Styela clava: one gene and its partners. The main gene of each other region encodes a partner of the protein of the gene in region 3 in a complex. Links are inferred from orthologs where the notes say so. Each region holds a gene or a part of one and is shown on either strand. Other genes may lie near its edges.

What was found.
Region 1: the proteins of DNA repair protein REV1-like (region 3) and DNA polymerase eta-like are in contact, whole or in part, in an NMR structure (PDB 2LSK), measured with the Homo sapiens proteins. The link is inferred for Styela clava from reciprocal best matches to the Homo sapiens genes REV1 and POLH. Residues at the interface, in NP_057400.1 of Homo sapiens: Asn1158, Leu1159, Ala1160, Gly1161, Leu1171, Leu1172, Trp1175, Ile1179, Asp1181, Pro1182, Met1183, Glu1185, Asp1186, Gln1189, Val1190; in NP_006493.1 of Homo sapiens: Thr528, Glu529, Pro530, Phe531, Phe532, Lys533, Lys535, Ser536, Leu539.
Region 2: the proteins of DNA repair protein REV1-like (region 3) and DNA polymerase delta subunit 3-like are in contact, whole or in part, in an NMR structure (PDB 2N1G), measured with the Homo sapiens proteins. The link is inferred for Styela clava from reciprocal best matches to the Homo sapiens genes REV1 and POLD3. Residues at the interface, in NP_057400.1 of Homo sapiens: Asn1158, Leu1159, Ala1160, Gly1161, Leu1171, Leu1172, Glu1174, Trp1175, Ile1179, Met1183, Glu1184, Glu1185, Asp1186, Gln1189, Val1190; in NP_006582.1 of Homo sapiens: Gly232, Asn233, Met234, Met235, Ser236, Asn237, Phe238, Phe239, Gly240, Ala242, Ala243, Met244.
Region 4: the proteins of DNA repair protein REV1-like (region 3) and DNA polymerase kappa-like are in contact, whole or in part, in an NMR structure (PDB 2LSI), measured with the Homo sapiens proteins. The link is inferred for Styela clava from reciprocal best matches to the Homo sapiens genes REV1 and POLK. Residues at the interface, in NP_057400.1 of Homo sapiens: Asn1158, Leu1159, Ala1160, Gly1161, Ala1162, Asp1167, Leu1171, Leu1172, Glu1174, Trp1175, Thr1178, Ile1179, Met1183, Glu1185, Asp1186, Gln1189, Val1190; in NP_001374042.1 of Homo sapiens: Lys564, Lys565, Ser566, Phe567, Phe568, Asp569, Lys571, Arg572, Arg575.

What each region holds. Positions count from the first base shown.
Region 1 is NC_135262.1:4,868,186-4,875,021, reverse strand, and holds the start of DNA polymerase eta-like, read left to right. Parts: upstream 1-3,811; 5' UTR 3,812-4,447; coding exon 4,448-4,716; intron 4,717-5,004; coding exon 5,005-6,836. Other genes in the region: testis-specific chromodomain protein Y 2-like, read right to left, coding at 3,439-3,462. UniProt on the Homo sapiens protein: DNA polymerase specifically involved in the DNA repair by translesion synthesis (TLS). Due to low processivity on both damaged and normal DNA, cooperates with the heterotetrameric (REV3L, REV7, POLD2 and POLD3) POLZ complex for complete bypass of DNA lesions.
Region 2 is NC_135257.1:21,470,393-21,478,249, forward strand, and holds DNA polymerase delta subunit 3-like, read left to right. Parts: upstream 1-4,831; 5' UTR 4,832-4,922; coding exon 4,923-4,985; intron 4,986-5,863; coding exon 5,864-7,315; 3' UTR 7,316-7,839; downstream 7,840-7,857. Other genes in the region: transmembrane protein 65-like, read right to left, coding at 684-725, 2,057-2,217, 2,747-3,075. UniProt on the Homo sapiens protein: Accessory component of both the DNA polymerase delta complex and the DNA polymerase zeta complex.
Region 3 is NC_135254.1:14,376,592-14,383,468, forward strand, and holds the start of DNA repair protein REV1-like, read right to left. Parts: upstream 3,011-6,877; 5' UTR 1-3,010. Other genes in the region: mitochondrial pyruvate carrier 2-like, read right to left, coding at 3,011-3,337; sorting nexin-12-like, read right to left, coding at 5,969-6,466. UniProt on the Homo sapiens protein: Deoxycytidyl transferase involved in DNA repair. Transfers a dCMP residue from dCTP to the 3'-end of a DNA primer in a template-dependent reaction.
Region 4 is NC_135257.1:17,204,184-17,211,074, forward strand, and holds the start of DNA polymerase kappa-like, read right to left. Parts: upstream 3,003-6,891; 5' UTR 2,919-3,002; coding exon 2,776-2,918; intron 2,389-2,775; coding exon 2,247-2,388; intron 1,468-2,246; coding exon 1,315-1,467; intron 1,011-1,314; coding exon 891-1,010; intron 234-890; coding exon 110-233; intron 1-109. Other genes in the region: telomeric repeat-binding factor 2-interacting protein 1-like, read right to left, coding at 4,074-5,180. UniProt on the Homo sapiens protein: DNA polymerase specifically involved in DNA repair. Plays an important role in translesion synthesis, where the normal high-fidelity DNA polymerases cannot proceed and DNA synthesis stalls.

The DNA of each region.
Region 1 (6,836 bases), on a different chromosome or scaffold from region 3:
AAGCAGTCGAAATCAGCAAATGAATAAACAAGTTTGCCTTCGAGAGATTTTGCTGCAACACTCCGGACTCCTCCACTCTTGTTCATCAAATTATCTCATATTCGATGAAAGCAACATGCGAATTTATTCATTGCATACCGTGTGGAGTCCAGGCACAAAATCCCGAAAGCACAGTTGATACAGTACAACGTAATTCGTGTACATCGCTTTATGGTGTGTATCAGTGTGTCTGTATCACGCAATTGCCGTGAAAGAAAATTCGATGAATTACAAGCATATAAGTTGAGATTCAAGTTTGTCGAATATTTTCTCTTAGAATTTAAAATTTTTCGCTGTAAGAATAGAAGGCAGCATCTGATTGTTCATTTAAAAATGTTGAATCAAATAATAACGCAAGAAGTTCACAGCAAAGAAGATAATCGAACAATACTATCATCCTATACGACAGAAGTTAGGACCGGAATTTGAACAAAGAAGTTTTCTTCGAGAGATTTTGATGCAACTCTCGTAACTACTATAAGTAACCCTTGTTCATCAATGAGAACAGCGTGCAAATAATTCATTGCAAAACCATGCGATGTATGAATCCAGATGCATGGAATAATATGGAATTATGGAGAATGTTGAGATGAATGAATTAGTCAAGTGCTCTTTGATCTGAACTGCCCCATTTGATGCCAAGTCGTATCTCGGTAGATAGATATGAAAAACAACGCGTTGTGTTTTTTGAAATTACTTATCCCTTCTAACCATGCTTCTATTCATTTATTTATTTATGTAGAACAATATTCACTTCGTCGTCCGCACTCCAAAATAGGGAGTGTTTGTTCTATTCGGGAGGAGCATCTTCTTTTTTATTAAACAGTGCTGAAAGTAATTTTTCTACTAATGAAAATCCTCAAGCGAAAATTTTCGTTATGAATAATTGCGAGGTGTACGACTGCAAATATGCTTTTGTGAATGCGAAAGCAAGTTGAAGATTGCTATTTATTTAGTATTAAGAATAGCTTTAGAGTAAATTGTCAAACATATTTCAATCAGTTTTAAACCCGTACTATAGCTTTTCAAACTTTCATGTGTATAGTTGTTTCGCATTGTGCATGTTTCTCCGATAAATTAAATGTATATCTTATTGGACACGAAATGTACATATGGATCGTTCTGTTATTACGTTGTTGTTCTCGTTGATATCTTTTTTCCTATCGTCATGAACAAATCGCTTTTCTCATTAACTATTAAACCAATTGCTTTGAAATTTCAGGGATTAAAGATTGTATTTTTCGCTGGAAGACTATTACTTTTATTAATTTCAAAAATTTATGTAGGCTTTATGAGATTCTTTTTTGTGTGCGATGACGATTCATCCAAAATTGTGCACCTTGTGGCGGTTTCCCTTTCTTGTTAGTCGTGAAGAAGGAAATACATGCAGCCTACTGTGACAGATTGCATACTCGTACTACTTTGTTTTTGCATTCATGTCTATATTTTTGATCCTCGCTCACTTGTTTATTAGTAATTTGCCTTTTTTAATAAATGATTCTTGTTTTTCCTCACGCTACACCATTGCAGTGATTTATTATACTGATACAAATGACATTTTATTTTTGAAGGGCGGGAAAAAGTGAAGGTTTTTGATGGAATGAATAAGGCTCATAACGAAATACAACATATACTTATAACTTCAATAGAGTGAAACGCAAGAGCTACGGAATTGTCTTCACATATACGTTTAAGGTATAGCAATAAACAAGTCTCAACTATTTTTGATATATATATCTTTAAAACAAAATATACGACTTCCTGTGACACCCCACAGTTCGTCATATGTTGGCTAAAACTAAGTCGACTACGGTGAAAATTAGGTTCTAATAATAGCGCACCCACACAGTTCGTCATATGTAGGTGAAAACTATGTGGACTATCGAGGATTTACCGACGGAACATTGAGAGCACGCCATTATATCTATAATTTACAATGTGCATCATAATAACACGAAAAATGAAATTGTTTTGGTGAGTTATGCTTCCGGTTAAATGGGAATATTGTAGGGACTTGGTAATGATTTTCTATACTTCCTCTCAAAATCCTATGTTTACATTTAGGAGACGAAAGATCATTCGTATGACTGATCACGTCAACCAGGAAGGGAAATACTCACCAATTACACGTTCCATATACACGGGCTTAGAATGCAAGCTTGGGAATTGTCATGGATAATTATTGCGCGGAGAACAACCGAAAAAGCAGACTGATGAATATGAGACTACGGCGCCGCACAAGTTAGCCGTAAACAACTATCGCCTGGGAGGAGTCCAGCAATCTTCTCGCATAGAAGACCACTTTCGGAACAAGCAGGATAGTAAACGATGCGACGGCAAACATCTCCTTGCGCGCCGTCGAGTCTGGATATGGCGGGGAAGTATAACGATGTTGACGCACAGTCATCCAGTGCGGAAACCACGGAACCTACGCGGTGCAACAGAATGACGATTTCACTTTTCGCCGAAGTACGGCCCCGATTGTATAGCCGGGACTTGAAGAGTCTATTTCCGGCAAAAATAGTTCTAGTAATCGTAACTGATCACGGATTGGAACTCGTCTCCGATATACATGATACGAAGGGGTGCAGCGACGAAAAGTCCCTCGAGCCTTTTTAGTTTATTTTCCGATTGTTTAGCTAGATCTGAACAAAATTTCTTACGAAACCTGTATGTCCGCTGTATTGAAAATTTCGGTAGAATGTGAAATATAATAAGAATAGAAAGATTTGACCGTCAATTCAGCAATTAGGAAGCTGTTGGTCTGTGATGCACGTCTGTTGTCTTCAGCTAAATCTCTGATTTTGTTCTTATCGTATCGCAATCTTTCATGCGAGTGTTATCAACACACCAGCCTTTCATCTAAACTCATTTCAAAATCGTCCATGACTTGGCATATTAACGTGTACAAACATGAATTGGTTCAGACAGTTTCTGATAAATATCTACTTATGCCTGTCTTTTTGTGCTTGGTAATATTTGACATTGTGTTATCCATAGTAGGCATCATAAATGTATCATCTTTCAATGTTGTAAAAGCATTCCAACTGATATATCCTAACGACATGGTGAACGTAGCCTAATAAGACAACACATACACGAGCGTTTCAAGCATAATAGGTACAGTAATAAACCACATTGTGAAGTATATAGTCCAAAGTTTAGTTACAAACACAAAACAACCTACCTTCCTCGTACCTTTTCTGCAAAACTCCTAAATTTTGGCGCATAAAACGACAGTCAATCCAGGCTTTGGGCGTGGGCCCTTCGGGCAACACCGAAATCACGGCTTTACATGTTGAATTAAACGATATTTTGCCCAAAATGAATTAACATGTCACACAAAATAGATAGAAAAATAACTATTGAATATAAAAATATTGTTTCTATTCCACTTACCTCAAAAAACGAATCCCTAGGCATGTTGAAAGCCGAGTCCTACACAGACAGAACAGCTAGCTTTTGACTTCCGCGACTCGAGTAAAATTTCCCATAAGCTGTCTAGCGCGAACTAGTGGCTCGCGAATATACCGCGATATTTATGGCTCTTTGACATCTTAAATCAAATTAAAAATGTATCATTTCGAGTTTAAATTTTAACAAAATTTGTGGAAAAATATTAATTCATATATTTGTTTTTTTTCGTTTATTTTTAAATCTCACAAAACGAACGAATATGGATCCAAAAGTCCTCTATTTTCAGTGGCCAATGGAGCGTGAGTGTTGCAATTTATGCAAATAAGTTTGCGGGGGTTTTATATTTTCCGCCAGCTCCCGCGGTCCCGTTTTCTGGTCGTACAAAAGAGTCTCACATGTGTTTTGCCCGGATTTAAGTTGCAATTGTATCATGTTTGGAAATTTTTCATATGGCATCACAGATTGGCAGCAAAACCTTATGTGTTGTGTGCAACATAAATGTTGTTGAAGATTGTAAACAATTGATTTTCACTCATGATTATGTAGAATTATTTTGGAAATAGTAGCCTAAGTAGATTACCGCAGTAATGAGAATTACGTAATGTTTAGTCTGAATGTAAAATTAAAGGAATGCTTTGGAAATATCCTTACTATTTTATTCAAAAAGGTCTAAACATGCATGCTTTTGTATAAAAAATATTTTATAATTGTGATACACACCTAACATAGGTACGGTACTTCTAGTGGGCGTAACATTGTTTGTTTTCGATCTCATACTATAACTGTTTTGGTATTTTCTAACTTAAATTCTTGTTTTTACATGTTTAGATTTAAAAAAAAAGCTGTTGCTAGTGGCAGTGTATTGTCTTGGATTTGTGGAGTTAATTTTAATATTCCAGCTACTTAAAATTAACTTCTACAGTAGTTTTGGAACACAACACATTTGTAAGTCTGCTGTTTATCAGATGTGATAGGTTGTATAATTGTCACAATGTCGGCATTCAATAGAGTGATTGTTTTAGTTGACATGGACTGTTTTTATGTTCAAGTTGAACAAAGACGAGATCCAAGTTTAAAAGGGAAGCCTTGTGCTGTTGTGCAATATAGAACGTATCGTGGTGGAGGAATCATTGCTGTTGGTTATGAAGCTCGAGCTGCTGGAGTGACTCGTGGAATGATGGGAGATGATGCCAAAGAACAATGCCCTGAAATTAATCTCTGTCGAGTGCCAGAAGCAAATGGAAAAGCAAATTTAGACAGGTATTTCACTTTTATAATAAAAACATTATGTAATGATAAAATATTGATTTCTGGCTTCTATTTTCAAGTGTTAAAACTGTAAAATGATCGAAATAACTGCTTTTTCTAAATTTTCTTTTTTCAATATAATACATTATTAATTAATATGTACGGTAATATCAAAGTAAAGTTAGTAACCTATTTCAATACTTGACCTAGACTGGCAACCGACTTTTGGTTTTCCCTCCATCAACTTTCCTCTCCCTCTGAGCTAATATGAAAAATCTTATGCTTTTCATCCTTTTAAAGGTACAGAGAAGCCGGTGCAGAAGTGATCAATGTATTGTCACAGTTTGGCGGTCGAGTAGAACGAGCAAGCATTGATGAAGCTTATATCGACCTCACAGATGTCGTTGATAAAATAATTTCTCAAAAAAGAGAGGGAGATTATTTGTCTACTCATAGACTACTCAACACTCATATTGTTGGATGGCCTGTTGAGTATAAAGAAAATGAAGAAAAAGAGGCTGCGAGGTTTGGGGGGTTGGAAGAATGGTTAGGTCTAATTTCATCTGAATCTTCAATCAATGAGAATATACGATTGGTGATAGCCGGGGCCATCACTGAGGAAATCAGGGCCGCTGTTTATCACCAAACTGGTTTTCGTTGTTCAGCTGGTGTTTCCCATAATAAAATGTTATCAAAACTTGCATGTGGTATTCACAAGCCAAATAAACAGACTATTTTACCGAAAGAATCAATTACTTCACTTTTCAGTTCGGTAAAAATTGGAAAAATTCGAAATTTAGGTGGCAAATTAGGAAAATCATTAATGGTAAAATTTGGTATCAATTTTATCGGTGATGTGGGACAAATTCCTATTCAGAAACTAGTTGAGGAGTTCGGCCATAAAAATGCTTATTGGCTTCATGAGGTTTGTCAAGGTATAGACCCTGAACCTGTGAAAGAAAGGCATGTGGCACAATCTATTGGTTGTGGAAGAAATTTCAATGGTCCAGAAATGTTAAACACAAAAGAAAAAGTCAATAAATGGCTTGATGCATTGCTAGTTGAACTGTCTGAAAGGCTCGAAAAGGATAAAGCTGCAAATAATAGAATAGCAAGAACATTGACTGTTCATGTTGGACTAGAAACTGGACAAACCCTGTCCCGATCGGGACCGTTGTCAAGCTATGATCGAAACGATTTACACCGGCAATGTCTTCAACTTATTAGGGCTTTAGATACAACATCTTCAAGCGATAAAAGATGGCTGCCTGCGCTCAACAACTTGAGTGTGAATGCAAAAAAGTTTGACTCTGTCATTGGAGGGTCTTCAATTCTGAAACATACTTCTAAAATGAAGCAACCATCTATTATAGATACTGTGCAAATACCTACTGAGAAACCTTCAACTTCTGAATTACAGTCAGTAGCACAAACTGAACCTGAAGAAGTCCAAAATGAATTGTTCGCCTCTCAAAACCAGTGCCTGGAAAAACCTGAAAATCAAGATGTAAAATTGATTGAAACTGGAAGCCAGAAAATTGATAAGTTTTTTAGTGAGAAATCGAAAGATAATTGTATTTCAAATATGAACAGTTCTTTCAACAAGTTGACGCAGAATTCATCTCAGTCCACACCCACAAAACGTGATGACGTTTTCTTTGTTGATCAGTCGAGCCAGAAACAAAAATCTATTTCACCAAAGAAATCATTTTTTGAATCTGTTAAAAAAACTGTACAAAAGAATGGCACCGTTTGCAAAATTGATAAAATGTTCTTAAAAGAAAAAGAAAATTTGACAGAGAAAGCTGCAGTTTCATATACTCTACCAGATGGGCCAGTTTTTCATCCTTTATTTGGGGAAATAGACAAAGACGTTTTTCAGCATCTTCCTTTGGATATTCAACAAGAAATTTCAAAGTCGTATAAAATCACATCTTCTGTTATTTCATCCTCACCGCTGACTTCGTCCCAATATCAGCAAGGTTCATCAAAACATGGTGACAAAGGTCAAAGACTTATTTCTAATTTTATACCTAGTTCTCAAAATTCTCCTGAAACATCGTATATATCGCCCCAAACTTTACACAAAAAACGTAAAAGCTCTGGTCCTAGTCCACTTTCTAGCAAAAAGC
Region 2 (7,857 bases), on a different chromosome or scaffold from region 3:
AAGAAAACTTAACGTCCCGACTAAGCTCATGCTATATTTAGCCAGGCACAATATAAAGCAGTGGTTCTTAAAATTGATTGACCCAAAATTAGAAGCGAAAGGATATTCGCGGGCCGAATAAAGAGCACACACCCTCAAACTGCGATAATGACATAACAATTGGCGGTATTTGGTATGTAAAATCATTTCACGAGGCCCACGGAACGCGGTTTGGGAACCACTGCTATAAGATATCATTTTCATCCCAAGGGAGAGGAAAGTCGATAAGACGTCTTACTCATACGCCAACCTTTATTCAGAAATCAAAAGCTGTAGTCAACAATCTTCAGGACTAGCAGTAGTCATAACAGTTGTTATTGCATTAAGACAGACCACATCATGCATAATTTATGGTGTGGCATCTAACTAATGGCCTATTTGTGATGCCACAACATTGAACTAATGCAATTGGATCATCCTAATGGAATGGGACATAATGGACTTTTGTGAAGAACAGGATAAAAATCGAGGGTTTGAATCCCATAAAGGTGGGCCATTTCATCTTAGTGCAATAAACAGGTGAACGAAAAATTTTGAAACATTATTAAACATGAATTTTTATAAATCCGAAGTCCGAAATTTTTGTTTTTTTCAGCTTTTCTCGAGTCTCTAAAAGACACACATGTAAAGGTAAAATTACTCACCAAGATATAACTGTCGCTTGGTGATCTGTCCTGAGTCCTCACCTGGAAATAATATATACATTTACACTTTATAGCATCAAGCTTAAAATCACAAATTGAAAGTCAAATATAGGTTTCCCTAATTCTGCCTTCTTGGAAATGGGAGACGTTCCTTCCCAATCAAGCATTTTATTGTTTGCACTGTATTACGTTTCAGAATTACGGGTTCCCTACGTAATAGAAATAAAATGTGACTTCATCAACTTTACATTACCAGGAAATTTTTTTTAATATATGAACATTTAATCATGGAAATAATATAATTAGGCATTCAAGGAATTATATGGATAAACCTAATGATATCCAATGAATTCTACAGCTAAGTGTGAAAGCTAGCAAGACTTTTATTTTTGATGATTTCAGAGAGAAAAAAGAATAAAGCAGTAAAAATCTTTTCGATTGTTTCTTTATACAGAAATTTTCTTCAAGGTAATGTGAATGCAGTAAGACTACATAAAACTACATGGAATTAATGTGGTCCAATACACACACTCACTCAGAATTAAAAGAGACTCATGGTCAGTGAAATGCTGTGAACTATTGAAACTATATAGAATTATGGTGATTAATTAAACATTAGTAAATACTGATTTGGTGGAGTATACTTAGAAGAAAAGCTCTTGAAAGCCATTCAGACGTAAAAGAGACAGAGTTAAACATATGTTTCCTTATTGTCAGAATACTGTATGGCACCCTTGGCATTTCAGGGATGACCCATGTGCCCTTTATAAAAAATTCCAAGATAGGCAGAGTTAGTTGGTAGATCCTACATCACCAGCATCCATTGCTATGCAAAGCTTAAAATATTCAATTCTTAAAGTTGAGTCAAATGCTTCCTATGATGTGCTATGACCCTATCATCAGAATAACCATCAGGCTCAACTCATTTGCCTTTTGATTCGTTGCTCAGAGATGAGCATATTCTTCATAAAGTTCAAAACCCCATAGAAAATAGAAGAGTGAATTCCTACATGCTACATCAAGGCTTCCCAAACTGGGGGTCGTGACCCTGCAGATGGGGGGCAACGAATTATAAAGGTCGCAAAGAGTACACCAATCTCACACAAAGTGCTTTATCTCTTGTACTTTTTTAGACTTTCGAATCGAAACACAACTAGAGCAAAACATAAATCTCACAATTTCGAGATAATACATTGGAGAAGCGGCACGCTTGCATGGAAATACCGACTTAACAGGAGTCGCGGAAATTTTTTCAATATGGAAGGGGTCTCGAGCTTAAAACTTTGGGAAGCCCTGTGCTACATCACCAGCCACCGTGCAGAGCTCAAAATGTTTTAAATATTAATAAAACATTTACTAAGCTAGAAGCTCACCATGCTGTTCAGAGTTAGTATTTATACCAATAGAAGATTCTAAAGCAGCGAGTAAAAACCGGCGTTCCTCTTCTTTAAGATGGGACACGAACGTTTCAGCGTTCTCTGGTGATCGAATGTATTGCTTCAAAGTATAGTATAGCTTCGTTCGACTTGAATGTCTAAAAAGTGGATGAATTCCTTAAACTGAAAATTAGGATAAAATTTTTTACCCCAGGAGAAAAGCCGATAAAAAAGGCTTAATCATATGACGAACCACGGCCTCTCTTGGTTGAGGAAGCTGAAACCGACCAGTGGTTGCCTATATCACTCTGCGACAGGAAGAGTCCAGCAAGTCTGAAAAAATGAACTGATTTTGATACTCCCAATTTAGACAAGATGCCACGATTTGTCGTATGATTGAACCCTCAAATTGGCATTCCTTTTCCAAGATAAATAGGAATAGACGCTAACAATAATAGACGCTAACAATGCTCCCCAGCGAAATGACAAAAAAAGTGTATCCATTATGTTTTCTCACCTATAACCTAAGCGAGATACTTTCTGTCTCATGTTTTGAAATAATTTTTCAAAATTCAAAAATATTTTATATCTTGATCCTGTGTGTAGTCATTTTTTGTGCCATACCAGAGTTCAAAATAAATTATCTTATCTTATCTAAGTTTTTAACTATTGAATATATTATCTCACCCTTTTTCTGCATAGTATTGAGCTTTTTTGCTTGATCGTTTTGAAGAGGCATCCCTTCTTTGTGAGGTAATAATTGATGGAAATCGGCTCTTAACATCAGTGGAAAAGCAACATAAGAATGAAGTCCTTTGTGCATAGTTTTCAAAAAGTTTTTGAGAAAAATATGAAGTTTGTGTTCTTCTTTTTTGAATAAAATTTAAATCAGTTCTGGTTGGCAAGTTACATTTCATGTGATAGTTTGAAATACATCCCAGTGTGGAAGTATTATGATGTAACACTCTTGAGGTTTGCAGCATGTTACCCACTCTTTGGCAAATATTCCAGTTCATCTCAAATGCAGACGCTCCAAAACGTTTTTGAAGCTTGCAGGTTTTATATCCTCGTTATTGCAGTTTTAACAGCTTCTAACTGTTTCCACTGCTATAAAACACTTAATTCAGAAGAATGGAAATAAAGAAACAATATTGAAAGGCTGATGAATTATCTATGATGAATTTGAACTGACTTGAGTAATCAACAACTTCAATTATATTTCCTAGTCTAAAATCCATGACTTTCAATAAGGAAACCTTGCTTGAACCTTTAGGAAGCTAGACTATATATTCTCATAACATATTTTCTACTACCTGGCGCGGCGGTGTGGCTCAGCGGGCTAAGCGTTAGGAATACGCTCGCCACCGCACCTCTTATTACTCTGCGTGGGTTCGCAGGTTCGAATCCCATGCAGGGATGATTATGTGCGAGAGGATTGCTGGACTCCTCGCCGTCGTTGAGTGGTTCACGTCACCGCTGGTCGGTTACGGCTTCCTCGACCACCAAGTCCATGCTTCCGAAAACAAACAATATAACTAATCCCATACCCGACTTGGAATGGTGACCGGACGAGAGGCCGTGGTTCGCCATATGGATAAGCCGTCTTATCGGCTTTCCTCTCCCCCGGGATAAATATGTAAATCCTATCCTACCTACAGTACCATACTGCCGTAGTTCATTTTAATTAAAATTAATTATAAGTTACTGATTATAATATTTGATAAAATCCTGGACTCTAATTTGCCTATATTTTGGCTTTTGTGAGTGAAGTGGTCTAGCCCCCCCCCCCCCCCCTCCATCAATTTAACTTCCGATTGGACGATTTGGCATCAGCCTAATGCCATTACCATTAAGAGACTCTAACTATACTCAGATTAGCGTTATCTTTTTAGAAATACGAAAAATAACAAATTTGGTTTTTGCAGATTTCCTGCATTTATATCCCTTATAAATTCGCGGCCTTCCAACTGCCTCCATCCGTTAAAAGCAAGGAATGAAAGGATTGTAAATTCAAAGACTAAAACTCTGATACGGACGGAAACTACCGACGAATACAGGAAGACGAAGGAGAGGAAAACCATTTTTTTTAAGATTCGCAGAAGAATAAACATTTGCTCATTTTTACCCCTGCAATATGGTGCGATTGCTCCCTAGCGCAAGCTTGCGATAACATTTTATAAAACTAATACCGACGAACGTTGGTTAATTAAAACGGTTACAACGTGAGGTATACTTAAGTTTAAGCTTAACTCGATGTAGATCTTACGCTTCATGTAAGAACTGACGAGGATTATGCGGGGTAAAGTAGCCATAAACATTATTTTTTCCGAGCATTCCGTGTTCACTGTCACATTTCTTCGGTGAACAAGCCTTTCGAGAACACAAGTAAAACCGCTGTATTCAGGCGAAAAATGAGGGTAGAAATCACGATATAGATGCAACGGTTAAATTAATTTATCATAACACGGAATACCGTGTGGCAATTCGATATAAGTTTAATTAAAATGAAAAGAACATTTTGTTCACTTTTACCCTGCAATTTACCATATTAGCTCTATATCGCCATCTCCCGAATCTAAAACTTGAATGATTTATTAAAAATGGAAGACGACCAAAACAAAATTGAATATACATTTTTATATTAAAATAATAAGTTGATTAATATTTTAAATTAAATCAAGCTTTCATTACTACAAAACGTTTCAAACCTATCTTGTGACAATTTTATTACGCATGACCAACGCGTCAATCATTAATTTTCGCGCTGTTTCCTAATTCTACATTTTAATAATACCGGTATTGCACTTTGCAGTTCAACAAAATTTTGCCCTGTAATTTTTGTTTATATGTTATTTCTTGAAGTATGGATGAGTTGGATGCATTTCTGGCGACTGTGGACGAATTCGTAGATGACGAAAATCGAATCGTAAGTTTGGGGTTTTTGTTTTTCCAATTTACTTTTCATGTTTCCTGTCTCTGCAGCTCTGGGACACAGAGATCAGGAGATGAAATTTTACATATTTGAGGATAACAGGGCTTGATTATATTGCAAGCCAGGTCTCTCATCTCCTTATTCAGTCAAGTCCGAGTAGGTGAAAAGTTATCATATGCATTTAGTAGTTCAGTAGACAGGCCTTGCTGTCTTGGTAATGACAGAAAATAGAAATATTGTGGCTAAATCGAAAATCTTGTGCATAGAAAGGTTGAACGAAGTATCATATATCCAAGGTCAGAAGGTTTTTTGGGTCTCGTGTAGTTTCGTACCTAACGTACTTCTAGTGGGCGTAGCATAACAATTTTTTGATATGTCAATCCTAGCCCTCGTCTGATTAAGCCATCCAAAGATTAAATCACTACGACATCACAATGACGTCATAGAGCTTGCCAAATATACGCACGATGGACCGAAATGGCATTGGCGCCGACGATAAAGAACTGACTGACGTTATCGGTCTCTCTCCTATAGGAATCGTTTCAACGAGAAAATGAGAGAAATAACTGTTCGATTTCGGGTGCTCATTTGTACGTCTTGGATGGCAGTTCGTATAGTTTGAAGGGCTGTATTACGTCACTGTGACGTAATTTTTGGATGGTGTAGTCAGGTGGGGGATAGTATTGATACGTGAAAAAAATCGTCATGCTAAGCCCACTAGAAGTATGTTAGGTAAGAAACTACATTAGACCCGGTTTTTTAACCTTATTATTTCATTTACTCCTTTGCAAATTTTAAAAATGGGAATTTTCCTCAAATTTCAATATTTTCAATTCCATACCTATTCAACAACTATTCTTTTTCCCTTCCAGGTCACTTATAAATGGCTGAGCGAACAACTCGCTATTCCAACCAACAAAGCAAAAAGTCTTCTTCAGAATTACGCTGACTCATGCAAGAAACAAAACAATGGAATTCACATTGTTTATGCAATAATAGGACATGACTCAGCTGGAATAAGTGTAAAGGTCGTTCGAGATGTCGATCTTGACTCAGCGAAATCAAAAATGGATAAAGTTTATAGTGTTTCGTTATATAGCGTGCAAAAAATGAAACTTCAACACAGTGCTGTGCTGTATTCCACTGATTATGACACTCATCGTAAAAATCTGAGCGGAATTTCGAAATTTGGGGGTATAACGTACAACGGTGCAAAGTGCTTATCAAAGAATGAAGTTAAACAACAAAAACAAACACCAGGTGGTGCTAAAGAGATTTCTGCGGATCTTCAAAAACAATTTGCGAAACCAGCATTTGAAAAAGGGAAACCTGTGCAGCAGAAAGTCAATTTTTTTACAAAAACGAAAACATCACCCCCACAAAAGAAAGTTAAAGAGGAAATAGCATCGAAAAGCGACGCTGAACCCCAAAAATTGAACTCTAATAAAAAACCTGATCCCCCATTGGAAAAGGGGCAGAAAAAGGGCGTGGCTGCGTTTTTAACAAAAAATAAAACCGATCCGTTTGCAAAAAGTAAGACTGTAAAACCGGTGATAAAAGAAGAACAGAAAACAGTGTCCGATAAGAGTGAAAAACAGCCTTCAAAAAGGGACAGTACAACTGAAAAGTCACCTCAAAAAGATAAGACAAAAGAATCATTGAAAACAGAGAAAAAAAATAAAAAATCGTCATCGAAACGTTCAGTTGAAGAAGATGACCTAAGAATTGATGATTTTTCGGATGACGAGGATGATTTTATTGAAACTGATAAAAAATCTGTAAAAAGTTTGAAAAAAGTCGCTGATAAATCAACAAAACCTAAACCTGTTGAAAAACCGAAGCCGAATAAAAACAAAAAAAATTCGCGGCATGATTCGAACGAGCTTCCAGCGAAGAAACGACGCAGAATTCAGGAAATGTTATCTTCTAGTAGTGAGGATGAAAACGAAGATGAAAATTACGAGGAAGAGATGGGAATTCCCCCTCCTTCACCCCCACCTGTGATTGAACCCGAACCTGTGAAAGAAAAATTTGTTGAAGAAGTCAAAACTAATAAACGGAGGGAAAAAGTCATGAAAAGTCGAACATTTGTTGATGAAGAAGGGTGTATGGTAACACAAAAGTATTATGAATTTGAAGAATGCGATGATGCAGAACCTGTTGCTAATGGTAACAATGATCAAGCGGAACAAAACCACAAAAACAATACTGCAAATGGTGACACAGAAGCAAAAACGAAAAAATTTCCAGCGATATCTACTGCAGCTCAACCAAAAAAACAACAGAAACAAGCATCAATTATGGGGTTTTTCAAGAAAAAATAACTCTTTATTCAAATTTTGTCATAAATAGTGGGAAATATTTATAGCATTGTACATGCTACATGCACTGCTTTTTCAAGAACTTAAAACTTGAACGGGAGGCTGTGCAACTTGAGATGGGTTAATTAGTGCTGTCCAAAATAGAATCTTTTTTTGCCTCATTTTACCGATTTGCGAATTAGCCGCAAAACAATTTGAATAATTTGCGATTAGATTTCGAATATTCTGTTCGCTTAGACATCCCTAGTTATAATATAAGATAATACAAGATGACTAAACAAACAGAACCCAAGGTCATTTGTAACATGGAGAGAATATAACTTTTGTGCCAAGCGTCCTTGATTACGGAAACTCATTGGGGACAATCATACACAAACAGAAGTTCAAGTGTTCCATAAATTTCGTTGAAGTAACTAATAATTTTATGGGTCCTGTTTTTTTTTGAGAGAGATTAAGAGCGACTTAGTATCAGATAATGGATTTTTCTATGAAGCTGTTTTACATTAAACGATGACATCCTTTAAAAACCATGTGACTATGTGTGG
Region 3 (6,877 bases):
CATGAGCAATATATACATCACAAAAAGGACAATGAAATGATATTTTGCTATTAGGTGAACATTCATTATTGTTATTTTCATGGGTGAACGTGATCCTCTTTTTATTATTTGTACCTGTTTTATTACCATGCTTGTTTCTCATATGCCTTCGTAAATTAGTTTTTCTATTTACTTTCAAATCACACAGCGGACATTGAAACGGTTTTGCACCAGAGTGTATAAGAAAATGGCGTTCTAAATCTGTCTTCAAATTGAATGTTTTTTCACATACACTGCAACGATAGTGTACTGTTTTTAAGCCGTTTGATGACAAACTAATATCTTTGAAAATAACCAAGGAATCTTTGCCTAACTCCATTGTCTCTTGTTTATGATTAAGAAGATTGTGCTCTCGGAATTCCTTTTTACGTTCAAATGTTATATCACATTCTTTGCATTCGAAGCCTTTGTTTTTCAATTTTTTATTTCTCACTTCATAATGTTTTTGCAGAAATTTTTTATGGCTATACATGCCAAATTCTGTATAATATTCATCTTTCTGCTTTTCAGTATGTTCCAACATATGACAAGCTAATTCAATAGTACTTGTAAACTTTTTTTCGCAGTCAACACATCGTAATATTTTCAATAGACCACTGCTTTTATCTTCTAAATTTTTACCAATAGTTTTATCCATGAAATATGAATTATCGAAAGACTACCAAGTACCAACTGATAAATATATTACACACATAAATATTTCGTCAAAGCTAGCCTAGTAACTGGAAGAAAACAAATTTCGAATAAATAGAATCATTTCAGCAAAAACAGCTTCTTCTCTTCATGCATTTAGTCTAATACAAATCTTAAACATGTCTTTGCTCATATTACATTACATGTATGTTTATTGAAAAACAATAATAGGCTACAGTAATAGAATACAGTAATACACACAGTATATGCATGAGAAAAATGAGACACTCTTCTACAATATTTCGACAGCCTCTGATATATATATATATATATATATATATATATATATATCGATATTATAAAACTTGTGTATCTTTAAAATGTTACAATAGAAATGACAACAAAAAGTTAATGTAGACACAAATAGAAGTATTGTCAGCATATTTGGATTACAAATATTAGAGTTGGTACATACCAGGAAACTTTATTTTCAAATCATATAATATTAAAAAATGATTTTTGATATCGTACTATCTACGGAGCGCACTTAATTCAGACTGGTGGCTAATTTCAAGACAAAAAAGGACAGTTTTTCAAACAATTTTCATACAAAATATTCATTGCGAAATTCCTGTTATTAGAAGATTTACAATACAGAATATTTGAGACTTGAATGAACTCGTCATCTGAATCAAATACAGATTTCAGAAAAAAAAAAGAGTTACAGTATATTGATAGTTGATATTGATGAGATTACTACTAATTCTTGCCCCAAAACAGTAATTAATTCAGTGAAAGATGCATATTTTGCCTCTCAATTAAAATATCACAAGTTTTTCGTGAGCACACCAGTCAGAATCAGGTTTAGCTAGTTAGTATTATTGCAGAAGCATGAATAACCAGTAGCGAAGAAAAAGGAGTTTTAGTAGTTCACAGATTTAGGGCAATATAAGCTTGGAACTTCTCCGACTATAACCCACAATGAGTAAAACAGTGACCACCAGATCAAAAACACTGGAACAGATTTTGCTCTGTATCAACATTTCAAAGGTGATAAACAGAGGGAGACATTTTAATGATTGTCTTCAATGACTGAGGAAATTCCAACTCATTGAGTACAAAAGAACTGTATCTCAGATGAAATGAGGACTCACGATCATTTTTATTTCAAGGTATTCTTGTACTTGTTTGTGAGCTTACTAAATTGAATTATTTTATTATAAAAAACAGTACAGGAATATCCAGAGCGTTGCTTAGAATGCCACTTATGATGATAGCGAAAAAAAATGATTTACATCCCAATTTTAAGGTTAAATTCTCTAACTATATAAAGTTTTTATATTGTCGTTGTCGACTAAAAATAACAAGGTAGTTGTTTTAACCCAGCAATGAATAATATGATAAGAATGCAAAAGACCTAAATAATTTTGCTACAAAATTTTGTATTAAACGAGTTTAATAAAACATTGTAAATAGTACCGGTATATAACATTTGTTGATAAAATAGCAGCTTAAATACAACAAACCTGACAAGAAATCAGGTTGAACTAAGATTTAAAATAATTTTTTCAAAATAAAGTTTTCTAATACCAAGTGTCATTTTTTTTTACAGTGTCTCTTTAGAAGTTTTGCTAGGAATATATAAATAAACATGGATAGAGATAATGTTAATTTCAAATTCCTATGTTGTAAAATATATACTTTTAAATTACTATTATAAAGGGCCCGAATAAAACACCAGTAAATATTCAATAAAAAAGCAAACTTTCAAAATTCCTATTAGCATGTGTACATAGCAGATAACTTTTAAACACACAAAACAAACAACCGGATTGCAGTTGCAGTCATGATAAACAGCAGACTTGACTGCTGCTTTTTAATCCGCCTCAGTATTATATTATACAATCCTCCTAAGAAAAAAATGATTCAAAGATTTGATTAAATGATGCCAAAAACAGAATACGTTCTCAAATATTCCTATTGGAATATGCTTTAACGTTACTGCATAGTCCTGAAGCATGACCTTCATAAATCATAATGCACAAATGTTCGGACAAATACGAATTTGATGTTTTTTTCACAGTTGAAGAAAGTGAATTGAATAGTATTACATGTTTTCTAATTTAATTAGTTTAAATTAATATGAATATTCTATTCAATATGGAACTTTTTCCAAATGATTATACACTGCGAATTTCAGATTTCAATTTGTAGAAATGCACAGAACTAAAGTTATCATAGCTGTATAACAAAACTGGTGGTATTGATAATTATTAACACATAATGCAAAAATATATAGGTGAGTATAAGGTTTTATATTCGTTTTGCTCCGACTAAATTACTCTTCCTTTACTGATTCATCTTGTTCTTTTAAGCTTTGTCTGTATTTTACAACTCTGTAAACTTGTGATGTACCAGTAATTCCGAGCCCGACATTTACAGAAAAAAGAAGCCAGTTCTTAGGAATAATAACCAATGAATATCTCGACCATATGAATCCTGTAGCCATTAATGAAACTGATTGGTTAAGACTTAGTTTATCTGGGGGCCTAAAATAGTCAGATAGTCCAGCGATAACGAGTGCCCATTTAAATCCTGGAGCCCAGAAATGTATTGTTTTTAATCCAGCAGGGTGGTTCCATCGTTCTTTCATTTTTGCAGACATTCTACTTTGCAGTCTGTTGTCCAGTCGAACCAATGCATGGCGTATACTCATATTTTTATCAACGCCTTATATAAAAGTATCATAGATAATAATCTTAATAATAACAATTTAATCAGTCATTAGTTAACGGCATGAAATAGAATTACAAAGATATATATATATATTATATATAATAATACACTATAGATTTGTTAAATGACTGGTGAGAGAAGCCGGGATACCAAATTGCAACATCAATACAAAGGATGCTGATCATAAAAATGGGAATCCAGAGATATCTTGAGTCAATATGGGTATAACCAAATGATAAATGAAATATTTTATTTTAATAGGAACAGTATGATGATATGAGAATAATGGGGCTATTTCAGACTTTCAAACTAAGTCAATTTTATGAATGGAATTTATATTATATCGTCTAGTGAAGCTGTCAAATTTATGTTTTATTAAGTAAATTTTGTTTCAGCGTAATATAGCACCACACTTGCATATGTACCTTAAAATAGGTTGGGATGATAACATGAACAAGATGCGTTTATTCTGTCCATTGAGAAAGCCTATTTGGTTAAGATGGGTCAATCTATCATGACAGAATTCTAATTTCATATGCAGCTGTGGGACTGTATTACACTAAGCTACAAAATTTGATGCAAATATTCTATTTTTCAAATTCTGAATACATTTAAAAAATTTGGAAAATATGAGTATAAAGAATTAAAAAAAAATTGTTATCAATGAAAAATTGGAGCCATTTTGGCAATTTAAAACATGGGTCATAACCATAAAGAAAAAAAATGCAATCAGGTAGGAATAGAGAAACCAAAAAATCACTATGATTAGCCTTCTAAGAAACATACGATACAAGCGAAGCGAAATTTGAACATATTCGGAGCATGCTTTTAGTCATTTAAATATTTACTGAGATTCAGGAAAACTACTTTGCTTATGTTGAAGTTTGGGAAAACGAGTAGAAGCATTTATTATTTGGAATAAAATTCTGCTCTTATTGCTCTGGAGGTCCTGAATGAAGCACATGAAAGCTCCTTTGTATGTCAAGTCAAAAATTAATCTGGGATTACTGAAATCTGTGGGTTCAAATATAAATAGTTTGGCATACGACAACTCAACACAAAATCTTGCTCGGTGAATTTCTTTTTTTAAATTCATGTGAAACGCAAAGTCAGTTTTGGCTCACTTGTTCAAAAGCTCGACACAATTGAAGTCCTAAAACACGGTGCATAAAATGCTCATTTCAAATTATGGTCCATTCAAGCCTCTTACGAAGAAACCGCATAAAATTGAAATATTATACAAATTATTATGTTTATCAAATGCAGACAAGACAAAATATATGACAATAATTGCAATTCTATGGACAGAACCCAAATCCCAAAATTCTGTGATGCCGTTTGAATAGATAACAGATATGTAATTTTTATAACAAATACTGAGTCCAAATAAATTGAGTCAATTTGTAAAACTAATTTCTCTGTTCAAAACTTGTATAATTTTTAACCATAGACCAAAACTTATTATCACAATTCTTTATCAAAATTTACCACATTTCAACATATCAATATTTAAATAATAACAATAAACAATAGCAGAAATTGAAAATGTAATAAGTTGAATGGAAGCACGAGTCTCCCTTTATGAAGTATTAGCACATATTAATATTTGAGAACACCAATGAATATGCATGTGTATGAACTATGAAAAAACAACTGGTATCTTGTTATCAGCTGGGGGAGAGTTTCTTTTTACATATTGAAACTTTTTCTATTTCAAAATGTGGTTAAATGAACTGAAAATATTCTTAGAACAGGGGCTATTAATATAGACATTTTTTTCGAATAATGAAATAGGACAGTGTCTAGGTCAACAATGGCCAAATCCTATATTTTACGCCAAACCAAATTCCAGACAAAACAAATCAGGAGATACATGGTAACAGCTGTTTGTTTTCAATCAAAAATCGAATACAGATTATTGACAACTCCTTTAAATACATTTACAACATTAAAGAATCATTTTAGTAATTTAAAATAAATCATCGGGACCAAAATCATTATACACTGTGTTATTTTATCTCATATTGCACATGAATGACATAATTACAATTTTTTCCATGTTGTGATTTTCTTCGTTAAACATAAAGCTAAAATACTCAATACCTTTGATTGATGAGCAGATTTATATTAAATACCGAAACCTGAAATTCTGTTATTTATTAATGATGAAAAACGATCATCACCGGTAATATATTCCATGTATCCGAATCTTTTAATATTGTTTGAAGGAGGCTTTTGAAGTTTTATACCAAATTGTTCTTAAATTTATTTTAGCTATGGTGAATTCACGAATATTCATGGAATATGAAGTATTTATAGAGATCCGGAATATCACTGCAGTAAAGTAATAGTATATTCAAACAGATAATTAATTGTTCGTTTAATCAGATTCAGAGATTATACACAAAAAATATCGAGATTTGACTATTTTCGCAATCACAGGGGCAATGGGAATCATACACACGATCACAAAGCAAGTTTGATGATAATCGACCTGCCAAGTAGGCTATGAAGTTTGCCTAATAAGATTGTCCGAATCACTGTACGAGTACATCTTCATTCAAGCATTTCGTACCTTCCCTGGCACATAATTTTTATCAATGGTTTCATTCTGTAGAAACATATGGAGGCAAATTTCATTTTGCGCCAAAGGATGTCCTGCTACTTTGTTAATGAATGATTCCAACTTCTTCCTTCGATCTTCAATAAAATCTTCTTCGAACAAACCTTCGTCGCTTCTAAATGGTAAAAGTCGTTTCAAGGCTTTTCCAGGAAGAGGTGGCACCACAATTTTGCTATCTCTTTCTAATTCTGAACGTAACCACTCAAAATCACTGTATCTTCGACGAACTGTCGAGTCTTTAACCTTGAAAACCGGTAAATTCGTCTTCATTTTTACTTCATAATCAGTGTATTGGCTCTTTGGCCAACCGCCACCTATATGTGTCTCCGGATTCAGCACTTCTATTTCAAGAAAATTAGCAGGTAGACTGTAAGCATCGCTAAGATCTTGACGCGGGGCATCCAACCTTTTCGTGTTTAAATCATCCGTGGCCATTCTATTGTTAGTCTAAATATTACACACGTGAAAACCCGCGAACTGGTCTTAAAATCCCTAGAAAAAAAGACAGTTTTAAGGATTGACCGTGCGATAGCAAGCAAATAAAAGTGAGAGCACCGTCTGTGGTGAGAAGTGAAGAGTTAACGCGACTCTCTATCGCCCTGCGGAAGACCATCGCTTGGATGATTCCTGTTACCATGGTGCTAGACGACAACTGAGATATTTTTTGACCAGGTAGAACCGATTTTTAGATATTTATCCATGTTTCTATTATATACCGGTATATCCTAATTTAATAACAGTTACATACGTAGAAGATCATTCATAAATAGGAGTTATTATCGTGTAATTGGAAAATAATGTCGCAGGGGGAGATTGAATTGCATTTAACGTTATGTCTGTACTACC
Region 4 (6,891 bases), on a different chromosome or scaffold from region 3:
CAATGTGATACATAAATAATAAATAAAAACATATATTTCTCATCAAAATTGTAAGCGTAATAAAATATCCTAAAAATAAACATCCAACAATATTGAATTCATATTGTACTTGCCATAGAAGTTGATTTCTTTGTTTTCAAATATGATGTTATATCAAGATACGCTTCATCCAAACCCATTGGTGAAAAGTTTGAATCATATTCCGCAAGAATTTCACGAACTTGAGCACTTACCTTGAACAAACAAAATGAACAAAAAGAAATTGAAAAAATTGAAAAATGAACACAAAATTCTCACAGCTAAAATGTCTATGCAAAGTTGCAAGGAAATACAAATAACTGATATAAATTGACTTGAAATTTTCTGACCAGAGATCCTATCTAAGTTATCTGAAACCTGTGGGCCTGATATAATATTTCAGTTGCAATAGAAAAAAGTTCAAGCATACACTGAAAAGTTCTGATAGGTGTTTTCCTGGGCATAGATTTGTGCCTTTTACGTAACAATTGAAATTTTAGCAGACTCTCAGACTTTTCACTCAGGTGGATTTGGGGCATGTGTGTATACAGTAGCCTACTTCATTCATTCCGTAAGTGCTTGCCAGAAGGTCATATAAATTATGGAAGTTTTCTTTATAAGAGTGGGTGGAGGGCCACACACGACTCACATTTTCAAGGTTTTGCTAGATATTTGTCAGTTTTTAGACTTGTTTTATATGAACCTCAATATTTGTTAGCCTCAACTCGCGAAAACACTTTTGAAAAAATAATCCTCTAAAATTTTGCAATGGTAGAGCACAGAGAGAATTTTTCTGGGGTTGAGGGTCGGGAAAAGGTTCATAGAAAGGTCCTTCTAACAACAAATGAATTGAAACAAAATATTCTTCATACTTCTCTGTATTTGCCAAAATTGAGTGGAACAAGAATCAGCTCAGGACACAATTTCTTTGCTATAAAACCTGGCATTGCAGCTCTTACGCCATATCTTCTAGCAATGTAGTTGGAGGTTGACTGAAATCAATATCATCAATAGTAATATAGATAATAAATCATTAATTATAATTAATTCTAAAAAAACTTACATAAGATAGAAATTTGATATTTTTATAAGTTGTATGGAGGGCGAAGGCTTTATTTTGTGGTGAACAACAGCAGATATGTGCATAGAAAATTAACGAGTTATTATTTCAGATGCAAAAGCTCGAATGGGAGGAAGGCTCTCTTGTAATCAATTACCAAGAGAATTTGAACCATCGAACACAGGCAGAATGGAGGGTGCAGTATGAAGCATATTTTAAATAATCAATACACTTACAAGCATATCTGAGCCTCCCACTGCCATTGGCTTATTTTTTAATTCCGGATTGTCTCTTTCCTCAACAGAAGCATAAAATGCATCCATATCAATGTGCACTATTGTTCGTGATAAATCTCTGGATGATTCAAGTTCTTTCAAAATAACATTTGTCTAAAATATATTAATAAGATATTATCTCAATTCTCAATATAGAATCTTGAAACAGAGCGAAGTCCCTAAAATAACTAAATCATGTGATGAACCATGATCAAGCATCTATTTCTCACAACAAGAATCAAGGAAAAGTGATCAGTTTAATGATCCTGATCCTCAAACAGGTGGAGAAAGCAGTAACAACTGATAAGTGTTTCAAAAATGTTGTGTCACATTTGTCCAACTGTACTATTGCATGCTAAGAAATACCTATTGTGGAAAAAATGGTAAAGTATGCATAATATGAGGTGGAATTCATGCTATGTACCGGGTTAGGGTAGATTAATGCTTTGGAACTTGGCCGAATGCTATATTGAACCATTTGAAAATGATATTCATATGAGTGGGACATGTGGTGGGATAAGTGTGACTAATTAGGACAAATATGGGGCACCACATTTTTGAGACACCCACAATTGATTGTGTAAATGGCTTTAAGAATACTATTATCGTAGTTATTTTACACTTATAATCAAGCTTATTTAAATAAGCATTTAAATTTGTGATATATGCAAAAATACAATTGAATAATAGGCTAGTTAAGTTACAAAGAGAACTGATTTAATATAAACAAAAAAATTTATTATCTGAGAGACTGAGACTCTCTTCAAATGCATGTAAAATTGTTTGAATTAAATTCTCTTAGCGCCACTCAAAATAAATTATTATTCAACTTTGTGAATAATGATGTTTTATGTTCTACGAATCGGATAACAATTGTATGCATGAATGCATACTCTGCATAAAGATGTTTCCATTTGCTCAGGAGTGAGTTTTTCAACTTGTTCCAACATCTTCTGAATTCTTGCATCAACCTGAGCATCCTTTTTTCTCTCATTTTCGTAAAACTTTGAACCAACTGAATTTTCATGAATAATCCTAAACAGGAATGTTGATAAGATGTTAAAAAATACCGGTAATCATTTTATTACAAATATGTTCTCTAAATCATTGATATCCATTGAAGAATAATTTCCAGTAGTGGTATACAGCTGCATTCGTTTCGAAGTTTGTTAATGTTGCATGGATGAATGATTCTATTAGGACTTGGTTCACATGATTCTCATGGGAAAAATTGAAATGGTAGAAAATGTGTGATCGTATAAACTCAGTAGTTCTCTCTATATCCATGGCTACTTTTGTAGAGCCTTGCTTGGAGTAAAAAATGTATGAATACGCCATATGAAAACATCCAATTTACATTGTAACTCATGCATAAAAGATAAATTGATATTAAAATATAAGAAACTCATATTGCACACTGACTTGTTGATTTTCTCCTTGTCAAGACCTTTCATGCCAGCTTTATTGTCATTCAATGCCATTCGAGACAAAACTGCAGTATTTTTATTTCTTTCAAATCCATCTTCATCATTCACATCATTTTCAGAACTAATTGCCGAATTCATTTTAATAGCCTAAGCAATAGAATGACTGTAAATCTAAAACTAAAAAAATAAATGTGGTTATTAACAGGAAGTTAGGTAACAAAGTTAACCCGCATTAAAAATTTAAATATATGCCTAATCATTTCCAATATTCATTCGTATTTTTTGATGGTTTAGACCAGCATTTCCCAAACTTTTTCGGCCACGGAACACTTAGACTTTTTATCTCGCCTCGCAGAACACCAAAAAATGGAAAGCTAAAATTGATAAAGAAAAACGGTGTAATGTAGCGGTTCCCAATGGGTTCGCTAGTATATATTTATGGTTAAACCGTAAATATGTTAAATCGTAAATATATACTACTATGGTTAAACCGTAAATATGATTGAATATTTTACATATTACATTTATTATAAATGTTTTATTGTTTTCTAATTAGAATGCTGTGTATATGAATCAATAAATTCACCAATTCACAATTTTTTACCTGTCTATGTCGTTTACTTTCCATCACGTAGTGTTTGCCTCCAATGTTACCTCTAATGGAGATAAAAGTACTTGCTGCAATTTCGCGAACTGCAGTTTATTTATCTGCTGAATTGAATTTAGCGAACATAAGTAATTTTTCAGCATTTCATAGTAAAGCCAGGCAGAGACGGAGGAAGAAGAGTTGACCCTTGGCCTTTATTCTTTAGACCCACTTGTTTGCTTATAACAAAACCAAAAGGATTGCTGTACTTAACAGTCAAAAAGCTACGCCGACAGTTAACGAAAATGTCACTCCTCTACCTTAGTTAGTCCGCTTTAGGCCAACGATGACGCGAAATTGAACGGTCAGATGGGCAACAACTTCACGATCCCTAGATCGCAATGGCGACATTTTTGATTCCTTCTCCACAGAACGCTCGCGGAACACAGTTTGGGAAACGCTGGTTTAGATCAATGACATCTATGTAAATAAAAGGCCTCTGTGAGGATGTCAGATTAGGAAATTCTTAACAATATCAAATTTTTTAAAAGTTTGAAACGACTTAGGTAGTATTTAGTGCAAATGATTGTGTTTCAATTGAACTTAATAACTTTTTCTGTAATGATATATAAACAATAAATTACAAATCCAAGTACAATAAACTACAATTTAGAATCATAACAAACAATATAACAACAGTGAATTGGTCAGTTATTCTCATCCATTTTGGCATTCTTTAATGGAATACTTTGCATATAATTGAAATCATTTCTAGAAACACCAAGAAGAGCTGCAGCACGGTCTGTCACGGGTCGTTCACCATAAATTTTAGCAAGTTTTCTTGCAGGCTCTTCGTCACAAGTTGTTGGATTTAATAAACATTTCAAAAGAATTTTATCTTCAGAGTCTGTGAAAAGATGGAACCCTTCAGGTACCTCTCCCTGATATATGTAATATTTGGCAATATCCTCATTGCCGTTACATTTAAACAACACTTTATAAATTGATTTTGAGTCCAATTTTGTAACTTTTTGCATAGATTTCACAAAGTCATTTATTAATACATAATATTCTTTTTGTGATAGTCCAGGAGATAAACTATTCCTTCTGCTTTCGATTTCAGCTAAAAATGATCCCGGTCTCTTTTCTTCGAGATCCGATGTTGTAACAATATCAAGTTGAGCAGGAATTGATGTTGATTTAGCACTCGTACCAGGCATTGTAGTATTTCTATTCTGAGGAGGTGTGGGTAATGGACCCAAAACCCTGCCCTCTAGTGGATATGAAGATTCACGTCCTTTTAAATGTTTTAAATATCTATCTCTCAGTGATTGCCAGGACCGTCCTTTCAGTTGGAACATATTTTGTTTCTCAAGTTTTTTCCAAAATTCATTTCCTGATAATTTACGTTTATCTTTCAGCTTGGAATCTCGAACATAGAGTAAAATATTGATATCTTCTGTTTTTGTATAAGTCATTCGTCCTTCAGCATCGTTGCCATTGACATTGTAATTACTAGGTCGACAATGATATCTCTCCTGTGGCATAAGGCTTCCGCTGTTCGCAGAATCAAGAATATATCTTGCAGATATTGTATTTTCCTTCCAACTGACTTCTCCATCAGGTAGAAGGAATATGGCATTATCTCGATAACCAAAAGGTACTTTTTCTATGTATGGAAAACACAAACCACCGCCCTGAATAATGTGTTTCTTGACTTCTGCTTTTATTGAACATGGTCTAATAACAAACACCATAGGTGTCTCGTCTTCATTTTGAAATAATCCACTATTATCGTCATGAGTAGAAACCATTACGAAAACTGAACATAAATTTAAATCTGTTCATAAGTGAAACAAGAGAGTAATGCTACCAGTATACAAAGCTTGCTATAAAGATGGATGAATGAGCAACAAAGGGGTGGTCGTCAACGTCAAGTAATAAAAAGCGTCCAACTGAACTTCAAAAAAATTTGAAACTATATGGCTAGCAACTGCTTTCACGTTTCCATACAGAAGATTTGAAATTGATCTGTTCAACAGATGCAGAGATAAGAGCTTTGTACCTTGACAATCAGCCCAACAACAACTACGATAATAACAGCAACAATAATTTAGCAAGCCATGAACAATTCATTAGGTTGACAATCGTATACAATACATTTCATTTCCATTTCAATTATAGCTATTGAGAATGATTAGTGTAATGACTAATGACGAATAGTAGTCTCTATTTATCCAGTTCTTAATTTTATAATTGCATGTTTATCATTTGCAAATATAACTGATATCCTTATACAATGTAGCCTATATCTTATGGAAAAATTACATGGATTCATCAACATAAATACAAAAATATACCTACAGGAGTACAGGTAATTACACAATCGAGCTAATTTAGCAAACAGTGAATATTTTTCAATAGGATTTAGAAACTAAGAATAGAAAAAAGACGAAAGCAATAATAACTTTATCACACACTTTATGCTAGCATACTTCTTTTACCTATTACATTGATAAAGAATATGGTTCAAGAGTTTTTTTCTAAATTGACCAAGCATGAATGATTTATATACAGATATAACAGTTATTTCATACAGTTGAAATATTTATAATTTGTTCGCAGAAAATTGGGAATGGGAAAAACTATTTTTCATTCTATTCTTCATATTGTTGATAATACAGTAGTATTTATATTTGTCACATGACTACACAAAATAAAATCATTGCACTGGTACATCAGAATTTAAAAAAATTCTCCATTTATCCAGATATCATGGTAGGCCTATCAAATAATAAAGAAAAAATGTAACGATTTGCATAAGCATACAAACAATTATAATGTTAATCTTTCATTCAATAATCATTATTATATACATTCCATTCATATTTAGAAAAATTTATATAATGAGGTACGGTATTTTATGTAGAAAAAAAAGAAAAAATTACCTTAGTTCAGAGTTTCTTTGTAGCCAAAATTTATATCTCACTAATAATAGCAAGAAAAAACACAATAATTTGATAGTAACCTATTGAACTCTCTTCTCGTAACAATGGCATGTAATAGCCTAGATCAGGGTGGTCCAAACCCAGGCCCGCTGGCCACATGTGGCCCGCAGCGTCATTATCTGTGGCCCGCGTCGCCTTTGCTGAAGGGTAATCAAAAAATCGCATTTGGTGTTGTTTCGCCATAAAATTAATCAGGAAATCTTTTCGACATCACTAATGTCACTAAATAGACTAGTGTCACGGCTAGCTAAAAAACCAACTAGCGAGTGTGCTTGGGTGCTCCAAATTGTTCACTGGCTTTCTATCTTTTTGGTTGGTAATATTATTATATTCTAACAGTTATAATAACTAAACATTAATGTTGTGGCCTGAGAATATAATTGCTTCCGGTGATTTTTTGCAACCAGCCTAAACAGTATTAGCTACAAAAAATTCTTCCAATTTGTCAGAAAAATTGTTAATTACTCTCCTGTACCTTACATTTGATAAAAAAAACTAATCAATCAATCTGCAGTTA